Linked DNA regions of Drosophila melanogaster. The protein of the gene in region 1 interacts with the protein of each later gene in a pairwise test. Each region holds a gene or a part of one and is shown on either strand. Other genes may lie near its edges. The genes, in order: CG1983 and zyd.

Region 1 (11,534 bases):
TGAATGGTCTTTCATGAATCTACGCTGGTTGTAGAGGGGCTAAGGTGGATTATTTAAATGGAAAATTCTATAGAAGGACAAAATTTTACCTTTCTTCACAGCTTGCAAATGAGGGCTTCTTTCGCACGCTGTGTCCATCCATTTTAAAGTATCGGATTAACCTTGCGATTATGAGTTCGGTTCCGATGACTGGCATCTTTGTTTGGATTATCTATGTTAACAAAAGGTTATTTGTTTATATTTAAGCAAATGATAAAAAACTCCCTGTTTACTCACTTGGCTTGCTGTTTCTCGGGACGTCCCGCCTGTCGTACTGCCGATGGTTTTCAATAAAGTTCTCCTGTTTGGTGAGCAGAGCGCCCTCGGAGGTGGGATTACTTAGACTTTGCCGGAATGCAGCTCCACTCGCTTGAAGGCGCCGGGCCTGGAACTCCCGATTCTCCAGCTTCAACCGCTCGAAATGATCATCCGGAAATTGCCGCTTGGTCACTCCGGGATGTCCATTGCTGCTTCTTCGCTGCTTAGATTGCTCCTCATGCCTGCGGCTTTGGGCAGGATTGGATTTCTCGGCAGACCGACGGGATCTGGACTCCCCACCACCGCCACCATCTCTCTGATTGTTTGAAGTGCGACGGTACTCTCCATCTCCGTGGGGATGCGAACTCCTCCTGGATTCCTTCACCTCACCACTGGTTACAGTGGGTAATCTTCGGGACTCGTTGGTGTTGCTGGTTATCTGTTGGATCCTCCGCGATTCTTTCATTTCCCCCCTGGGTAGCCATCTGGATTCAGTGGTATTACTGGTTATTCTCGGAATCCTTCGGGACTCCGTGAGCTCCCCACTGGTTATGTGGTGCAACTTCTTGAAATTGTTGGCGCCACCTGCTTCCTTGGCTGTCCTCCGCGACTCTCCGCTCGTGATGTTGGGCAGTCGCTTGAGTTGGTCTCTGGTCACGTTGGAAAGTCTCCTGGTGTCCACCATTCCGCTGGTAATGGTCGGGGTTTTCACTACATTGGACATCCGCCTGGACTCACCTCCGCCACTGGATCCATGATGAGCCTTCTTGGATGTAGACGGTTGCTCCCTTTCAATATCGGAGTGAACAGATCGCCAGTTGGGTCTCTCTCTTCGGTGCTTCCTATCCGTGTCCTGCGATTCCTGATGTGCCGAGTGTCCTCTTCCACGGGATCCCCTCCTGTTCTCCTCCTCCTGCCTTCTACGATCCGTTTGCAGGCTTGTCGTCCTGAGATTATTCGTTTGTACCATCGGCAGGAGCATCGGCATGTTGATGGTGTTCGGGGGAGTTATCATGCCAGTGGTGTAGTGCTGGCTCCTCGGACGGATCTGGTACTCTCCTGGAGAAATAAACGTTATATATGAGGCTATTTCGTAAGATGTAGTTTAGTTCTAGTTTTAGTTACCAGGCGTCTCCTCAGTGTCTGAAGCAAATGGAGGCAAGTTGGCGGAGGTGCGCACGTTTCGGAACATCTTCATTCCCCTGCGACCGAGATGACTGATTTCTGGGAAGAAGGTGTCCCACTGCGGATGGTTTCGTTAGGAGGGCTCAGTAGCAGTAGTAACACTTGGCTTACCAGGTAGAAAATGCCGTACGCCAGGAGAATGGCCAACATCAGGACGGCCGTGAACTTGGTGAACTGCATCAGAATGAAAACAATCACACCTGCGAGCACCTCTACGTGCGCCACTCCGAGGAGCTCGAAGCAGTGGCGGACCTCGGAGATCCTCATCGTGACCAGGTAGCCCAGCGCGGAGTTCAGTGACTCGCAGGCGCACCTAATAGCGTCAGCCATGGCTGAAGTCGAGGAGTCTGTGTGCGTCCCAGTGAAGGCATTTCTCCCCGGCACAGGGTTTTCGAAAGCTAAAGTGCGGCGAAACTTACTGCCAAAGCAAAGGCAATTGGATTTCGACTTTTTCTTAGCTAAAGCTAAAACTAAATATTTTATTCATATGCCTTAAAAACAATATCCTCTTTGGTGTTAGGCGTTAAATTACTTTTAAAACTCCCCGCCTTCATCTGTATTTTCAAAACTAAAAGTATTTTATTGGTATATTCAGTAAACTCAGGTCACACTGCCGAACAGCTGATCGACTCGAAGGTTTTGTTTTTATTTTTGCAAGGGCTGTTTCTTATCATTGAGTTAACCAATTGTAAGAACAATAACTACTATTTATCTGTACTTATATATAAAGAATATTATTCATCTCGCATTTTTTAGTTAAATGCTAAGACGCACAATGGCGGAATTCGACGTCAAAGCCGGCCTGCAGCACGTGTTGAAGCGCATAGACGAGGTGCTCCTCCAGCGGCCCAAAGTAAGTTAACTTAAGACCCACTTATTAATGACCTCTTAAATGAAAAACTTTATCTCTCGCACAGGAAGTTCAAGCTGCCAGGCCGCTGCTCGTTGCTGTAAGCAAAACAAAGCCAGCGGAGGCCGTAATCGAGGCTTACGAGGGCGGACAAAGAGACTTCGGTGAGAACTATGTACAGGAGCTGGAGGAGAAGAGCCGCCACCCGGACATTCTGGCCAAGTGCCCCGACATCAGGTGGCACTTCATAGGCCACATGCAAAGCAACAAGATCAACAAGGTCAATTGGATAACCAAGATCGGATAACAGCGTTTATCTCTTATCAGCACCTCTCTTTATCTTATTGATCTCATTGTTTATTTAGATCCTTTCTGTGCCAAATCTGCATATGATCCAGACCGTAGATAGCGAGAAGTTGGCCACCAAACTGGACGCAGCCTGGTCTAAGCGACAGCCCACCCCTGAGGAGCCATTGCAGGTGCTCATCCAGATCAACACTAGTGGTGAAGACGGTGAGTCTCACGCCCCCAAACTAGCGACCTTATACTTACTTTCCTAAATCGACCTCTAGTTAAAAGCGGAATAGAGGCGAAAGATGCTCCTGCACTCTACCAGTACATCAAGAGCAACCTTAAACACCTCAACCTGATGGGCATAATGACCATTGGTGCATTTGGTTTTGACTACAGCAATGGACCCAATCCGGATTTCGTGTCCCTAATGCAGGTGCACAGATCCATATGTGAGGCGCACTCCTTGGCCCCGGACTCGGTGCTCGTCTCCATGGGAATGTCCAACGACTTCGACAAGGCGGTAAGCTACAAACCGACTGAGCAAGTTCCGTCTCTAAAATCGAAACTATTCCCTCAGATCGAAATGGGCAGCACAGTGGTGCGCGTTGGCTCTTCTATTTTCGGCCATCGGGCGGCCAAGGTGTAAGAAGGGGAGCGGAGCAGAGATGTGATAGGAATGCGTTGCGGGCACTGAATACAGCCGATTCCCAATGACGTCCGACCTCACGACTGAGCACCTCCAAGTTCGCTCATGTATCAGGTGGAACTGGGTATATTCACACAGACTAACGTAGTAAATCAGCAAATCAAAGATGATTTGGCGTTTAAATTTAGAAACCCTTGAGATAAACAAATGTTATGTGTAGGCTGTTATTTGCCTTATTTAATTGTTAACCCTTTATAAACAATGCTTCCAAAGTGTCAAAACCATTAATATTCCCAGAAACATTCTGCACCTTGGAAAATTGAATACATTTGCCGCAGTTTTCATTAGTTTTAACATTCCTTCGACTGCGTCTTGCTCGTTTTTTGCACTTTGTTCTATTTTTACATTCGCGTATATTCAATGCTACTTTGCGTATTAGATTGTGGGCAGTTTTCCTCTATATCTTCTTGTTTTGGTTGGCCCCAGGCCAAAATGTCGCCTGGTTACGTGCCAAAATGGCTGCGCCATGAGAGTTTTCGCCGAAAATCACTTTCAATGGAGCACGAAGATGACTGCAGCCTAAATCGATTTTCATTATGTCTGATCGATGAATTATGAAGGCTTTCTCGCACGGATCCCATCGTTAATTGAGATATTTTCCGTTTCATAAATTTGCATAGAGCCTTCATTAATTATAATATTAGCCAGCGAGGGTAATGAATTCAGGTGGCAAAGATGACCTCATGTAAATATTGTTTTGAAAAATGTTTTGGCTTATTTCCTTCAGAAAGCAAAAAGTCGAATAATTTGCAGAATGAATATTTCTAAAAAAAATAGATGTAAACTATATGAATAATAATATTTTGTAACACTTGAAACTAAATTGAAATTTCCTGCTTATTTGGAAAACTAAAAATGTGTAAATAAGGCTTTGAGAATCCAATTTGTCGATTGAAGTTGTCACAATTTTACTATTTATTTACTGAAATGGCTTAAATAGCTTGAATACTGCAGTGTTTAATATTTTTAGTAACAAGGTTAATGTATCATGACGTGGTACCCAAAGTTTATCTGAAATGGAAATCCTACAGCCTTCCCATTGTTATGCAATGTCCATGGATGACTAGCATATAGATAAAGTCAGATGTTTATTCCACATTTGTTGCCGAAATAACTCTGGTCCAATATCGGGTTCGTTGGATATTTATGCGACACGAAATCCGCCCGATCGCCGTGTATGTATATACAGATCTATAGATTTGGAATTCTCGGCGCTCTTCATATTGCACAATGTGCGGGGCATTTCGAAAACAGAAAAAGGAACGTAGGCGAGCAAAACATCGAGTATATAGGCGTGAATAGAATACATACATATGCTATATGTTGGCATATATGTATGCTGTCCGCCGCCAAGGAAAATGTAGGTGATTTCAGCGCAAGAGGACACCTTTCGGAGGTGGCCTCTGGCAGAGAGACGCACCGAGTAGTGAAGCAGAGCAAAATAAAAGAAAACAAAACAGAATCCGAGGATGGGGAAATGTATCCACAACAGAGAGCCGCTATATGAACCAATCCGAATCGCCCCGAAATAAATTCCGAACATATGTATAGGCTTCTGCTGCCCAAAAGCCAAAGCCAAAGCAATTTCTCTGCCTTTAAAATTAGATTTTTGATTAGAGCAGCGCCCGATGGATGAGTAAACACCTCGGATACAGCTACACCATAGGCTATAGGCTATAGCCATGGCTATATCTATATAGTTGTAGCTGCCCGCCCCCGCCGATCTCCTGGGCGGACCTCGCCTTGCAGATACTAAAAAAGGCAGCACGAATATTGCAGATACGGATACAGCGAATGGCGCCCGAAGATCCCCGAAGGTGGCCGAACCTCCACGAGCGGCCCCAATGCTTGGAAGAAGAAGAGCTCCTCCGAGCTCTTAAAACATCATTGTCTTGGCGATAAAATCAGCCAGAGATTCAGTGTGCTCTGACGGCTCGACTCGATTAGACAACACATCAAAGTTCAGCACCATGGTAAGGACTCGTCCCGGAATATCACTACAATCCAACTGAACCGAACTGAACCGAACCGAATCGAACTGGACCCCAGTGCCTGGATATATGCAGCAAGGATAATGCCGATCAGTGCAGTGAATCGTTTGCATTCGAGAATGACCCCGAGGATATGAATATGAAGTGAACCATAACTCTAAATCATGGTGATCCCGATTCACCTTCTTCACATACGCAGTGAGAATAGTGCAGAAAGTTCTATAAATGGATCGATCCGATCCGAGTGTTACGCGTCAGTAATGTAATCTGATATCCGTGCCGGGGAGCGAGCGAGACAGCGAGTGGCGCACGGCGGAGAGCTTACGTAATATGCGTCCGGTATATTTTTAGAATGAGTGGAAAACTTTCGCCTGCAGATACATATTTTCTGGCCTAGTCGGGTAGGCCTTTTGAAAAGCATACCTTACATCCCTTAAATCCCTATTAAGGGATAACTTTCTACCCATATAATTCCAATTGAAGATCCTTCAACGCGGATAACTTACTAAGATCCCTAAAACGAATAGTATAACTTCCGGAATCGGAACTTTCAAGTGACAGCTAAAGACGGACTATAACGACTAATGACCGAGTAGATACCCCCTTTCTGCCACGAGTCCCTACTAATAAATCCCTCTTTTCTCTCCTCAGGCCGATGAGAAGAAGAAGGTTAAGAAGAAGAAGACCAAGGAAGAGGGTGGTACTTCCGAAACCGCTTCTGAGGCCGCATCCGAGGCAGCAACCCCGGCACCAGCTGCCACTCCTGCCCCGGCCGCATCTGCCACTGGTTCGAAGAGAGCGTCGGGCGGATCCCGTGGCTCCAGGAAGTCGAAGCGCGCTGGCTCCTCGGTCTTCTCTGTGTTCTCCCAGAAGCAGATCGCCGAGTTCAAGGAGGTGAGTTTTGGGCGTTACTCATATATCGCATCATATGTCGGATCACTCGAGACCCATCCCATCATCCTGTCATCCTACCATCTATCGCACTTGTCAAGGACCAAGTCACCAACACACTCTTTCTTTCTATCTCTCTCTGTCTCTGTGCGGGATCGATAGGCCTTCCAACTCATGGATGCCGACAAGGACGGTATTATTGGCAAGAACGATCTGCGCGCTGCCTTCGACTCCGTCGGCAAGATCGCCAACGACAAGGAGTTGGACGCCATGCTGGGCGAGGCCTCGGGTCCGATCAACTTCACCCAGTTGCTGACCCTGTTCGCCAACCGCATGGCCACCTCCGGTGCCAACGATGAAGACGAAGTTGTTATTGCTGCCTTCAAAACATTCGATAACGATGGTCTCATCGACGGTGACAAATTCCGCGAAATGCTCATGAACTTCGGTGACAAGTTCACCATGAAGGAGGTTGATGATGCCTACGATCAGATGGTGATCGACGACAAGAACCAGATCGATACCGCCGCCCTGATCGAGATGCTCACCGGCAAGGGTGAAGAGGAGGAGGAGGAGGCCGCCTAAGGCACATCCGATCACATCCTAACTTCTAACTCAACATCCATTTTACAGCCAGAATCAGAACGTTAAATCAATCAGTCAAATCAGTAATAATAAACGTAATTAAAAGAAACGCTCGTTTACATATGTAGATTCTCAGTATCTTGTAATCTCTTTTGTTAACCATCACCAAGTACCTTGTACCAAGAACAACACCACCAACCAGATCAGCAACATCCGATCAAACTGAACCTCAAAAGAACTTCTTCAGCAACATTTGGTAGCGATCAGAACCATTTACCATGTATCTGTCCATCATAGTTAGGGATACTTACGATCACGTTCACTGTCACGGCAAGAACTGACGCGTAGTTTTCTAGTTGATTTACTGTTAAATTTTACACGTAAAATTTATAAAACATATGCTATCTATTTTATTTAAAACACCTATAAAATCAACAAAAAAAACTTAAAAACAACAAACAAGCCGTGTCTATTTTTATATCGCTGTCCGTTGAAGAACTAAAGAGAAGAACCCCCAGAGAGAGATGATTACCAGATCGAGATCGAGATCGGAATCGAAATGAGGATGTATGATGTATGATTTATGATGTAGGGAGGACGAAGACGATGTTGATGGGTAGCCGGGCTGTATTCGTTAGCCCTGCACCCGCGAGTTCAATTTGATTATGAATATGAATTTTAGCCAGTTTTGTGAGTTACAATGTTTTTCGTTCAAGAAATCTCGCAGGACCAGGAGAGAGAGAGGTAAACCCATAACAAACTATTGTTAGGGATCATTTAACTGAGAGCCAAATATATATCCTACTATCACAAAATATTTATCGTTATACATATCTATCGTTCGTTACTTACTTATTTATCAGTTATGAGTTATCAATATTATTGCAAGTTATCGAGAGTTAGGCTAATAACAGAGAAACATTAAGTTCATTCACTCAAATTGTTTAATGCGAATTTATATAACTTAACCATCGCCACCACCACAACTTTCTGCTTATGAACTATCAGCGATATAAACCACCCAAACGAACAAACAACCCAAAATGATATCTGAAATATGAAGAAACATTCAAATAACAAACCCAGTGTTTCTAGTTAATGCGTTTTGAAGCTTCCAGGATGATACGCCTCCCCGGGAAATAGACGGTCGGGGGGGTTTTAGTTTGAATAAGGTGCCCATAACCACTAGTACCTAGGCTGATCGGAGGAAGCACAATATATTGCCTTATTTATCTAATACTACTATTACTCAGAACTCAACACTTGACACTCGACACGAGCACACACCACACTCACACGCACACTGCAATCCATTTCAAAGTGCAACATGCAACAAGTTGTTAAATGCAAATCGAATCTTTACTTCAGTATATTTTAAGCTACACACGGCAAGATGAAAAAATTCAGAAAACTTTTAACCCGGTCAGGAATATTAACAAGAGTAAAACAAAAAACATCTAAAAATAGAAAACAAGTAACTGTTTTTATACAACATAACTAGATGATGATACGATGACGAAGTCTTGGAATAAAGCAAAAGAGAGTCGTCTTGAAAAAAAAACACAAAGCCATTGAAGTTTGATTTGCTCAGGGAAGGGGTTTTTTGGGGGTATGTAGTACCTTACTGCATATCTGACTCAGCTGAGCCGTGCCGGAAACCAGTTCCAGGTCAAAACAAAACCACCGATAAAGCTGGGGAGCTGAACGAAGCTGTGGAGCGCAGTGGGAAACTCCCCACACTTGGCCAAGACGATGGCCAAAACCGAACACGAACCTTCGAGCGACCAGTTGTCAGTCGAGTTTCGAGGCGCACGCATGCGCACTACGATGTGAAAGTCAGCCACGCTTGTCATTGCCACATCCATTCCGAACAGCGCTTTTCGAATAATCTGGTTACTCAGGGCGTAAGTAGAACCAGAACCATGGCTCCAGGTGGACGACAGCTTTTGTGGATGGCTTCCATCTGCTGGATTGCATCACTAATGAGTGGAGGTGAGTGCTGGGAATCGATTGCATTGTATGCAGATATTGCGTGGCCAAAGAAATCGAAAGTATCTCAGTTTGAGTCTGGAATATCTCACCACACTCTCGAGTGCACTGCAAGAAAAGTGATATACATTTGGGGCGAACTAAGCCCTTATCCTATGCTGTATACTTTGCTTCGAAAGTAAACTAACCTTTTATTTCCAACACTATATTTTATGCATATAATTATATTATTCATTCATATTTCTCTCTCTGCGCCTATGAGATATCTCACCTTACTAATGAACACTCCACTCTCACTATCGTTTTTGTGCCTCTCAGCTGATGCACAGCATCTGATCGCTTATATCTCGCAAAGAGGTCTTCATGGAGAGATCACTTTTCGGCAAATGAATGCCACCACGGTGGAGATCAAGGCCAACCTGGAGGCCACTTTGCAGTACCCCGACCAAGTATGGAGTTGGGGAGTACGTCGCTTCCCCGTGGACTACTCCAATATTGACCCAGACGAACGCTGCGAACTGAGTCGTTTGGGCTCCCAGGTCCTGTCCTTTGACGAGGACTTGGAGTACCTGGTACTGCCCGGAAATGAGACCTCCAGCTGGGAGCGAAACATGCAGTTGATTGGGGATCGGGGAATCTGGGGGAAGTCCCTGGTTCTGACAGAGGTCAACGCTAATGCACGGATCTGTGCCACCATCACCACCATCCAGAGTTCCGTGGAGCACATGGCAGAGGCTCGTTTTAATACTCCTGTCGCTGGATCTGTCCATTTCCGCTGGCTGGCCCCGGCGGAGGGAGCTGTTGGAGATACTCTAATCTACTCGGATCTTTACCATATTAGGGCGCAACCAGCTGCTCTGGAGGAAGATAGAAGTCAAGCTGGACCGTTCACCCAGCACCACTGGAAGATCTATGTGACGGACATTTTCAAACATGACCACCATCGCACGGAGGACAACTGCAACTTCCTGCAGCAAGTTTTCGATCCCCAAGGAAGTGGAGCTGGCAAGGGAATAGGTGATCTGGACGCACGCCTAGGCAGGATTGGAGTGGCCAAGAATGCCCTTCGTTCGCCACAACGCAGCGTTTTTAGGGATGCTCAGTTGGCCCTGCTGCCCTCGGATCTTACCATTCCCCATAGAACTCTTTACCTGGTTCTTTTTGACAACCAACATCCAGATTCGTACCTCGCGTGCACCAAGATTCGCCATGTCCAACCTTTGACACATAAGTGAGTGGTTTTTACAACCCATTCTATTTGAAAGTATAACCATTTTTTTTTTGTTAACCGCAGAACTTTCATCAACTCTGGTGGTGTCAAGGGAGAGGTTACCTTCATGCAGCGCTCCAAGTTCGACCCAACTTTCCTCAATTTCACCTTGGGAGCACCGCTTTCCCAGCATGTCAGTCGCAAGTTCGCCGAAGATGTGGCCGCCTTTCGGATTCACAGTCTGCCGCCGGTGCCTTCGAGGATGGGTCACGAGGACTACTGCCTGACCACTGGGGACATGCATAATCCCCGGGAGATAAACGAGAATATACCCCCACCCGGTTATGGAACCCAGGAGCAGTATCCCGTGGGCGATCTCTCCGGGAAGCTACAGGGTCGCAATAAAGGTTATTGGCATCAGTATGTCTTACCAGGAACGAGCTCCGAGTTGAATGGCCTCTACTGGGACGTATTTCTGCCCCTTCAAGGACGTTATAGCATTGCCCAAAGAAGTCTGGTCATATACACTTTCAATCGATCTAATGTCACAAATATTACGAAGATGATTTGGGGCTGTTCGAGCCTAAGTCAATATCAACGAAATGGAATCTACCAGCAGAACATGGTTACTGCTCAGGTTGGTAGATAAAATAGTATTTCATGCTAAGTATTTTAATATTTGTGCTTATATCTTAGGTCCTTTTCCGCTATCCTGTGGTGGGTCGAGTCATATTCCGGCAGACGGCGGAGCAGCCTTGGCAGGATACTACCGTTTTATTTGAGTACCTCATCCAGGCGGATGGATCCACGCAGAATACTACCCACGATCATCGTTGGGCAATCCACAGCAATGCACCTGGAAAGGACTTCTATGACTGGCAACAGAGATGCATTTCCGCAGGACCTGTATATAATCCATTCCGAGTGGATTGGGGCAATCGCAGTGTGGATGACTTCTGCCGACCCAGTTTAGCCTCCATGTGCAGAGTGGGTGCTATGGATGCCAGATCGGGAACCCTAACCATCGCTGGAGGCAGAAGAGTTGCCCAGAAAATAAGTAGGAAGATGTTTGTAGACGGCAATCTTCCGCTCTCCGGAAGACATAGTATCCTGGGTAAGTCTCTTGTTATCTATGAGGATAGTGGACCCAAAGCCAGAGGAGAGCGATTGGCTTGTTCGGCCGTGATTGGACATTTCCGGAGGAAAGTGGTGGCCAAGGAGTGGTACGCAAATGGAGATTCGTTGACAGTCAGCGGTCGGGTGGAAATCACCCAGCAATCGGAGTATGATGTCAGCAATGTGGAGGTGCAACTTAAGGGGCTTCAGGATAATACAGGATATTACATCCATAGGGTATTTATTACCAAACCTGTTAATGTACACATTGTGAATCTAAGCTCTCAATTTTAGACACCCGTGGAAGCCAACTTGGCGTTTCCCTGCGAGGCATCCACTCTATATGGTCACTGGAATCCTTTCGACGTCAGTCCAAAGTCATCACCTCCTCCGAAAAGGGGAACCACAGATCAGTACGAG
Region 2 (10,494 bases), on another chromosome or scaffold:
TGGAGTAGCTAAAAATTGTAATACGGTCGGTACTCAAATTAAAGACTTAAATATCTACCTTGTATAGTTCCCGATATATGTTTATGTTACATACTTTCAATTCAGTAGTACACTAGGGGTATACTTTTCAGATTGAAATCACTTTACTAGATGCAGAGTGAATATTATGCTAAATATCTATGTATGTACATCTAGACAAGTATTTACCTTCAAATTGTTAAGCGATGTAACGGGTATCTAATATTGATGGTGTTCCGACCCTTGAGCTAGGATCATCAGCCGAGCCAATCTGACCATGTCCGTCTGTACGCGTGTATAAACTTTAATATTTGGAACTTTCCGAATTTAAGTATGTCAATTTCAAAAAATTGTCACTTCGTTTCCTTGCACTCCCTTTTAGCTGAGTAACGGGAACGCAATAGTCGGAGAAGTCCACCATAGTGGTATCTTTTGTTTTAAAAGGTTAAGGTAGATTCATAGAATATTATGCAACAGGTTGCGGAAGCGTTTCAGACCGTATAAAGTTGATGTATATGCTCGTGATCAAGATCACTAGCCGTCAATCTGGAAGTGTTCATGTGTCCGTCTGTCTGTCCGTATCAACGCTCGGATCTCGGGAACTAAAAAAGGTAGAAGTTGTAGATAGGGAGTGCGGGTTCTATTGTAGTAAAAACAACACTAACAGCCACAAACCGTTACTTTCACACAATTTTATAATTTTCTTTTTTGTTTTTTTTTTTTGTCTTGTCAATTTTCATCGGTGCGCAAAAATATTTTGGCAAAACTTTTACGGCAAGTTATTTGATTTGACTCTAACGCCTTCAAAAGGCAAGAAGCTGTCACGCCCAATTTAAAAGAGATTTTGGTTTAATTATTTAATACTAGTCATATTTATTTAAAAAGTCATTGTTTTTGGAAACGAATAAATGTTTAATTTAAACAAAAAATCAAAATGTACTACAGACTCCTTGTAGCATTACTTTTCTTTCATTAATTTTTTTCCAAATTTGTTATATAAATGGTTTGGTAATATGCATGCGATAGAATGGGTATGGTCAAAAAGGATTTTCCGCATATCGATCAACATGGGCGTGACAAAAATCGAGAAATAAAAAATGTAAAACATGGCTTGATTGGCTTGGCTGCTAGTGATCCGATTCGACAGTATATATAGTTTATTGGGTAGCGTTTTCCTTTCGTTCCCCCCTATTACGTAGTATAGTATTCATCGAATTTTATCATACCATATATTCTATGAGTAACTTGCGTAAAAAGTATAAGAACTATAGTTTGTTCTATAATAAAGCAAATTGACATTATATTTCCGACTAATGAGAAGTCGATTGATATTGGCTTAAAACTATTTCTTCTTTGTTACGCCAATACTTTTTTTTTGTAACCTTTGTGAGCCAAAGCTGACATTTTGGAACAAAAGTGCCGCAAGGATATCACTCACCTTTGGCGCACTTTTGGAAAGTTTTGTCGAAATACATGACCGCAAGATAGACGGCATACAGGGAGACCAGGATGAGGGCCTCATACCACTCGACGCGCTCGTCGTGCATAACACAAATGAGAATGGCCACTGTAACTCCGTATGCGATGCTGTCCCGCGTCAGTGGCCACCAGTCCAAGGGTATTGTCTGAAATTTGCATTTCACGAGGATTAGGAAATAGCTGATTATACGAAATAGACTTGCCATGCCAGCTCCGATTCCGCAGCACGCGGCCACTGCCAGGATGTTAAATACCGCCGATCCGACAATCGTGCCCACTCCGATGTCGCCCTCCGTGATAAAGGTTCCTATCACGTTGACAAATAATTCTGGGGCGGAGGTGGCCGCGGCCATGAAAGTGGCACCCGCCACATCATTGGACATGTTGAGTGCTAGATTAGTTGAAAGTGATAGTACGCTAATATTCAAAGTGGATTTAAGAATAACTACCTGCACATATTTTCTCAACTGCTGGCACAAAGTACTCATCACACACTACGGCTAAGGCTACAAATAAATATAAACTGGCTATAACATGAAGTACAACAGCACCAGACTGTCTTTGCGCCTCCGAGAATAGGTCTCGGGGGAAGTCATCGATGGCGGGCTGAGTGCAATTTATATCTGAAAGATATGCGAAATTCAAAGATTACTTATTGAAGGTTAGTTTCAACACTTAAGAAAGCATTAACTTATATTACCTAGCTTAGCTATCAGCTAAGCTGAGCCAATAGCTGAGCGTATAAAAAGAGTTGAAAGTTTCATACTGCCAATGGTTCCAAATAACGGAAATTTAGCCTTAATGTTTTAATATCAATACGCTAATACAAAAACCTGTTCAAATAGGATAAGTCGTTCCAGATTGGTGAAAATTTATGGTATTGTTACCAAATGTCTTTAAAACTTTTTGGATTATCCGAGGCCTAAAGAAAAATCTTACGATTCTTAAGATCAATCAAAATGAAAAAGGGCTTTATTTAAAAGTGAGTTTCATAAGTTAATCTTTCAAAATTTCTGCAATTAACTGATAATTCTCAAAATTTACTTAAATCTTATTTTGAGAGTATCATTCGACTGGAGTATTTTAAGCAATAGTTTTTTATACTATTTTTTGGCTACATAATCTGCACTTTATAAAATGTTCTCATTTACACTGGCCCCGCTCTTTTGATTAAAACATTCAATTGTCTCAAAGTCTTTAATTCTTACACACGTTACTCGTAGAGTAAAAGGGTATACTAGATTCGTTGAAAAGTATGTAACAGGCAGAAGGAAGCGTTTCCGACTATATAAAGTATATATATTCTTTATCAGGATCAATAGCCGAGTCGATCTAGCCATGTCCGTCTGTCCGTATAACTTTCGAGGTCTCAGGAACTATAAAAACTAGAAGGTTAAGATTACGCATACAGATTCTAGAGACAAAAACGCTGCTCAAGTTTGTTGACCCATGTTGCCACGCTAACTCTAACGCCCACAAACCGCACATAACTACCACGCCCATATTTTTTTCTATTGATTTGCCAAAAATCTTTTTGAAACGCCCGACCTGAAGCCGCCAAAACGGTCACACTTTTGAACAATTTTAAAACTTGTTCTCATTTTATTCCCCAATACCTACCGATATCCCACAAAAATTATGAAATTTCGCGTCCGAATTCACACTAGCTGAGTAACGGATATCTAATAGTCGGGGAACTCGACTATAGCATTCTCTTTTGTTTTGCGCTACCATTGCGTGTGGCCTGTCCCTCATTTGAGCAAATTTAAACACAATAAAAGTGTTCTGTCTGTAGGTAAGCAATTTGTTAAAGCGAGAGTGTAGTGTAATTATATAGTAAAATTTCAAATCATTTTCATCGTCATAAGACGTGTCATCAGAACTTATTTATGTCAAAGATGCAATGGCCGATTATTTCTTAAACTAATCAAAAGTGTTTGATTTTCTTAATAATAATAAACAAAGTCTAAAGTTAAAAAAAAAATTAAATAGAAAAAATTATATTGACGAATTAAAAAATTGGAGACTATGAAAAAATTCATTTTTTAATAGAGTGTCGTGTCGTCGCGGGAAAAATGTAACCTCGAGTTGACAAAGTTTATAAGCAGCTATTCTCACAATAAATAAGTGGCTTGTCATTAAAGAGAATTTTTAATGAAATCATAGGCCCTTATGTCAACTTCAAAATAGAATAAAAATCACTTGGTTTTCGCACATTTCATGCTGCACTGCAACAAATTTTCACCGAACAAAAAAACGCTTCAGACGATCAGGGAACAAGGGCTTCCGAATTGCCGAATTATTCCGACTGCCTCGTCTTTCTATTTTTGTGTATCACAAGTCGGAGTCTCAAGCGTTGATAATGAACTAAACCACCAGAGCTGCAAGAAAGACCATAAGACTGGCAATCAGAATCCAGAACGTGGCACCCAGTACCTCACACCCCAGGAATCGAAACTCAAAACAGAAGCCGAAATGGAAACTGCACGAGATACAGACACAATTACACCAGATACTCATACAGACGCAACGCGAGCAGTAAGCTACAGATACAAATACATCTGCTGGTTCCAGAACATAAGTCGGACTGGAACCGAAACAAAAATAGAAGCCGAAGCCCCGCTTTTTTATCATCGTAGCTCATAGATACATTTGATCATCGATCAAAAATGCGACGGACCTCCGATCCAAATAACGATCGGCAGCGGAAGCGATAAATTCGCCTTTGATGTCATCAAATTGTATTGCAAAACAAAAAACCGATAAAAGCTCATCCGAAGCTTTAAATTGAAACCGAAAACTATGCCCCAGCTAAAAACTAAAAACATATCAACACGGGAAAAAATCGTAGATTTAGTTTCCTATTTCTGCACTTTGCATGCAAATTATTGTTACTCTAGCTTGAAATCTAGGAAACATTGGCCGTTAAAAGTATGTAAATTACTGCTTGGGCGTATTTTTTTTTAATAAAAAGGGTTTCTGCTAGAGTTTTATAAAAAATGTAAAATCAATTCTATATAATTCGCAAAAATTAAATTTAAATTATTAATTCATTTGTATATTATATTTCATGGTTTCTTATTTGACTCTTGAATACTGAATCAATCAAAACCAACATTTTTATATAATTTTTGTCTAATAATTTCAATTATTATATTAAATATTTAATCAAAATGTATTTTTATTTAAAAAATTATTTGGGCTGCTATTTTAAGATTAATGCCTGGAAAATAATTAGCATAGAATAGAAGGGAATAAAATGGTTGTCACCTTTTCAATGTACAAATAATTGTAACACTTCGATACTTTAAATGTTTATGTAATAATGAGATATCAATTTCAATCCTAAATTTAAATGTCTAAGTCGGGCGTCTAAATACTTATTAAACATAGGGCGCCTTTTGGTTGTTCATAAGATTGTGGAATTTTTTTGCATGTAGAGTACCTAAATCGGCAGCCGGTGCCGAGAACAAGCATCAACATACAGACTTCAATCCGCAAATTAAAATAAATAAGTGCTAACTAAACGCAATAGCTAAACTCACTTGCCACTCAAAATGTCAATCGATTGAGCTACATAAGTTGATAGAGACATAGAGTAGATACGAGAAGATATTGCGGTAACCGTAGGTCGAAATACAAATATACATAAATATGTAGGTACAATAGCACTCTGCAACATGGTAACTGTGGACTTGTGCAAATAAGTTTCAGCATCACTATCATCTTTATACCATAACCCCTTAAGTTGATATCTCAAAGCAATCCAACAATTTAAAGATAAACGTTTTTTCTGTTCCATTTTTATACATTCAATATGTACTTATACCCCACTTATACTATTCAGCGCATTAAGATTTTGTAATTTCACAAATAGGGCTAAGCAAGCATAAATAAGTACTACCAAAACACACATACACTTCACCCCAGAACTAAAGAAATGTAGCACAGTGTAATTAAATACCCAGAGCCAGCAGTCAGCCAAGTATATGACCCAATCAAACAAAATTAGCTTTGTTTCGTTCGGTTCGGAAATCATCAGATTGTGAGCGTTTGATCTGACGATTAACACCGGGGTTAATGATTGCCATTAGTCTTGGAGCATTAATATAAGCAATTAGGTGAATTTCGGACTATGAATATAGTGCTCCGAATTCAAATAGGCAAACATTTGGACATCAACAATAAACAAATTGTAAGATTAATATGTAGGTTAGGTTTTCTCCTCTTCTCAATTTTAAATATCTTTATGCGCGATGGACCTTAGGTCGATGAAGGCCTGGTGCGTAGAAATACCACAAACATAAATGTATACCTACATATCTATATAGAAGTGAAGACTCACACGCAAGATTGAGCGACACAGAAAGTCGGAGCCCGGGGTCAATTGACACAAACGCATTTTGTAACCGCCAACCCGCATAATGCAATGATGCTTAATAAACATTTACAGAGTTCCCTAGTTATAGCGAATGAACCAGCTCTGCTCCACAGCACAAGGGAGGAGGAGTGTTAATGATAATCAATTTAACAATCAGAAATACATTCAATCACAGTAAATTAAGTTAACTATAATTGAATGAGCGAATCATAAACAGTAAAAGCGTATCGAATAACTGCAATTTTGAACTCTTTGGATTTGTTACAATATGTGAATCTTAGAAAAGTCAAATAAGTGAGTGGAGCTATTCAGAAGAGGTACTCAGTCTTATTCGTTCTTATGCAACTATAGCCTTCATTATACGCTTATTCGAAATATGTTAACTTTAAGCAATGTTTGCAGTACCCACATTGTAATTAATCATTATGGCAAACAAACCGTATATTACAGGTATTAATCTGCGAGCAAAATCTTCTGAATTTATTCAGCAATCGGCTTTCCATGCAGAAAAACAATATTTTTGATTATTTTCCACAGCAATCGAACGCTGTCAAAAATGCAAAATGGATCATATTGTCTCAGTTGCCAAATGTCAGCAGTAAACTGCTTCAGTATTTACTTGGATTTTTTAACGAAATATTATTATTATTATTGTGCGAATATAACAGTTGTAATATTAGTTCGCACAATTTCCTAGTAATTCCGGTCATATCGGAAACGGGTCTTTTCTGAGAAGATCTGTACGTAAATACTTGCAAGGAAGAAATTTGATGTAAAGATATTTTTAATAAAGATTGCAAGAAGTACTCCTTCCACCTGTAATAATAGTTATTTACAATTTTAAATGTGCCCACCTCACTAGTTTACTCATACAACTAATTTTACCAGACTAAGAATATCTCATTTTCCTGGCTCTTATCAGCATGAATTCGTTATTTTTTCGCTTTTTAATTTTCAGCTTTCTATTAAGTACTCAAACTCACAGCAGAATAATAGTATATGTGAAATGGAAGACTTCATATTACGTATCCGCATCATTGTCACAATTGTTTTATAGAAAGACTTGAAGCACATCGCCTTTCAAACCACACAAAAAGCTCTGTACTAAACATGTGTCTACCCATATGTAAGTTTATATCTGACCATAAGTAAGGGAAATCAGTGTGACAATGCGTATTAATATGACTTTTGTGTTTCGTTTAAAGAAAAATTTTCTAAACGATCCATGCTTTGTGGCTTTTGTCTGTATATATTCTTTCCCATTTTTAGTTAGTTAGTCTTACTTGGTGCTGTCTCCATATTTTTTAGAAGTGAGTTTACCTGCACCCAAGCCAATAATTCTGACAGAAATAAAAAATGAGGTTGAATCTGATGCGGTTCATCTTCGAAAAGGCCAAATATATATTGGTCTCTTTCAAGAGCATGCAACGTAGTAAAGGAGTCACTTGCAACCATTTCAAAGAAATAATAAAAAAACAACAGAGAAACCTATAGCCGAGTTCCCCGACTATCCTCTGCATATTTATGAATAATATGCTATTATCAGCTGTTTAGGCCTAAAAAGATTTTACATACAAAGTATTCCTTCGTTCTTTGTTTAGAAAATAGACTGCATAAAATAAAATCGCGTTTCCAGATACGAACTTACGTGCGCAGAATACTACCAGATACCAGTTGAAGTTATATCTGTTTTTAATAGTAGGTTCCTTCTACCTAAGTTTTCTATGATCAAACCAATAAAAAAGAGTGAAAAGTGAATAGTATATTTTTTTTACGTTATTCTGTGAAAATACCTATATGAGGAACATTGCGCATACGAGCCATGCATGGTTTGTTGGTCACATTAACGTTGAGCGAATAAAAGGATGGAATAAAATATATACGCGGGCATTAACTGATTTTGAAATACATCTAAACAAAAAAATTAATAACAAGAGAGAATGCTATAGTCGAGTTCCCCGACTATCAGATACCCGTTACTCAGCTATTGCGAATGCGAACGCGAATTTCATAATTTTTCTGGGCTATCGATAGATATTGGGGAATAAAATGAGAAAAAATTTAAAAATTGTTTTAAAGTGTGGGCGGCTTTCGGGCGTTAGATTCAGCGTGGCTAAAAATTTAAAAACATGGTTCAAAAATGTGGGCGTGGCAGTATTGAGCGGTTTGTGGACGTTAGAGTGGGTGTGGCAACATGGGTCAACAAACTTGCGCTGCGCCTTTGTCCTATAATCTGTCCGTATGAACGTCGGAATTCAGCATACAGACGGACATGGCTAGATCGACTCGGCTATTGATCCTGATAAAAAATATATATACTTTATATAGTCTGCCTGTTACTTTTCAAAGAATCTAATATACCCTTTTACTCTACGACTAACGGGTATAAAAACGAAACAGTTTTGGTTGTCACTATGCATAGTAAATGTCATTAAGGTTCACTTAATGAGCCAATTTAGACAATTGCTTCATATGCCACAGTTTACGCGCTCAGACACAACACATGCTCTCACGGGCCATAAAGAGATCCGCATGCATACACACCCACACCCGGAATTTTAAGGCGTACAAATTTATGTGCATGCATTTGTGTATGCGTGCCATCGTGCAGATACATACATATGTACATACATATAGAGGCCTATGACGTCAGTGCACGCACAAGCCCATTTAATCGCATTGCATTAAAATTATTTGACGCCTAATTGATTTATTAAACTTGTTTCTATCTTTTTTGTCGCCGTCGCACAATACGTTAAAGGCAACGGAAAATAAAATAAACGTTATTTGTCAATTAGTTAAAAGGGCACTTTTTTAGTAAATTATAAACTTATCTGTGGTTCTCGATCTCAATATTGTCTCATGTTTTTGATTTGTAAATAAATTGGTTAGGGTCACTGAGTCGGACGAAAATAGTGGTGCTAGCTTAACTCGATTTGACGCTTAGTGTTAGCTAAGTTTTGGCTTAGTCACTAGTTAGTTCTGTTAGTGGTTATGTACCCGTAGTGCTGCTAAGACCCCAATAGTCTTCCATTGCTGCACGGTGTTGTAGTGGTGATGGACACTCGTAAACTGCGATGCGCCGTTGTATGAAGCCGAAGCCTAATCTGAATCTCAATCTCAATCCGCACTTCAATGGTGTTGATTTTCTCTATTCTTTTTTTCCTTTCCTTTGCTGTTTCCTTTCGTGCTTTTACAGCTCCCGCACCTTTCTTTTCTTTTCTGTTCGACGCTATTTGCTTATATTCCGTTTCCTCTCCTTTCGATCACCGACCCCTCCTCCTTTACTTCGGCTTAAGTTCTCTTTTCAAATCAGCTTAAGTGAGGCGGTGAGAGTAAGCTCAATTTGCGCTAAAGATCCAAATGGTCCACAATGGCACGTAGAATTGTGGGTGGGTGAATGGCGGCGGAGCAGAGGCAATTGGGGCACTTACAAACACACTAAAACTCTGCCACGAACTTACGAACACTTTCTTACTCACACGCACACGATTTCACCTCGGAAACACGGTCCTGCATCTCATTTCTTTCTAAAATTGGGCAACCTGTGGAATGCGATATTGTCTTTAGAGCTGTGAGAACCAGAAACCCTATACAGACATTAGTTTTCTTCGTTTTTTTTTTTCCTAAATTGTTATTTTATTCTGAGCCTGAATCAAGGGAGTAAAACAATGTAAAAAAAACTGAAACTAAGCCATTTCCTTTCTTTTTGGATTGCATAAAATTTGTGCTAAGGTTTTTCAGGTATCGATGTTAATCTGATTATTATATAATTTAAGATGATTATCTATTGATTGTTCCAATATTTTTAAGAACCGGTGCTAAGCACACATAAGTGCGTTATAAGCATTTGTGGTTTTAATACGTAATAGATGTACGTGGTATTCTTACACGTTTCAAGGGACTACTGACTTCAGAAAGCATCATTAAGTTTCGAAAAATTTATATTTTCTATACGTTCACAATCATGTGTATTTATAGGTAAACCCATATTTCCATATATATTACATATTATTTAACGAAATATATACGTTTGTAAGATAATCGATTTTATAAGAAACATGTATGTATACAAGTCTCAGTTCACCTTTTATTATGACGAGCCGAAATCGCCAACCCTGCACATATGGATGCTTAGTTTATTTATTAACCGAATCGTCTAACTTAATAAGTAAAAATGCCTAGACCTTGGGAAATCTAGCTATGGCATAACAAATATAAATAGTAAGGTAAAATAAAGACAAAAAAAAAACCAAATAAATAAAATAAAAATGGTTACTATCCACCACGTTTTGTAAGTTACTAATCAATCAGTGTTAAATCAGTCAGTTGCCTAACCTATAATTAGCATACAATTCAATAGTGCAGTAGCACTGACTACAAGATAAACTACAATATATTTGACAGTTTGCTAATATTTGAGCAAAACCTCTGTATTTTGCCGTATCGCAGAGATCTCTGTGTTGGAATTGTTTTGTGTACAATAAAAACTGCACCCGTTGATTAGAATAGATTGCTTGGATACTCCGGCAAAATTTCTTGAATTCCATATGGTCATATATGTATGTACTTGGGTTTCCGAGCGGCTATCTATCTATCTATCTATCTATCTATCT

The links.
Region 2: the proteins of CG1983 (region 1) and zyd interact in a two-hybrid assay, tested with the Drosophila melanogaster proteins (one large-scale study listed by BioGRID).

The regions. Positions count from the first base shown.
Region 1 is NT_033777.3:30,168,255-30,179,788, reverse strand, and holds CG1983 (uncharacterized protein), read left to right. Parts: upstream 1-2,088; 5' UTR 2,089-2,170; intron 2,171-2,238; 5' UTR 2,239-2,242; coding exon 2,243-2,335; intron 2,336-2,399; coding exon 2,400-2,612; intron 2,613-2,697; coding exon 2,698-2,845; intron 2,846-2,904; coding exon 2,905-3,146; intron 3,147-3,203; coding exon 3,204-3,272; 3' UTR 3,273-4,003; downstream 4,004-11,534. Other genes in the region: CG15530 (uncharacterized protein), read right to left, coding at 144-211, 277-1,356, 1,423-1,540, 1,594-1,812; Mlc2 (myosin light chain 2), read left to right, coding at 5,303-5,305, 5,975-6,217, 6,377-6,799; Rsod (uncharacterized protein), read left to right, coding at 8,722-8,791, 9,107-10,019, 10,083-10,635, 10,695-11,351, 11,409-11,534.
Region 2 is NC_004354.4:23,021,816-23,032,309, reverse strand, and holds the start of zyd (zydeco), read right to left. Parts: upstream 6,944-10,494; 5' UTR 6,917-6,943; coding exon 6,862-6,916; intron 3,873-6,861; exon of another isoform or gene 3,720-3,872; coding exon of another isoform or gene 3,713-3,719; exon of another isoform or gene 3,700-3,712; intron 3,287-3,699; exon of another isoform or gene 3,118-3,286; intron 2,121-3,117; coding exon 1,947-2,120; intron 1,889-1,946; coding exon 1,701-1,888; intron 1,644-1,700; coding exon 1,457-1,643; intron 1-1,456.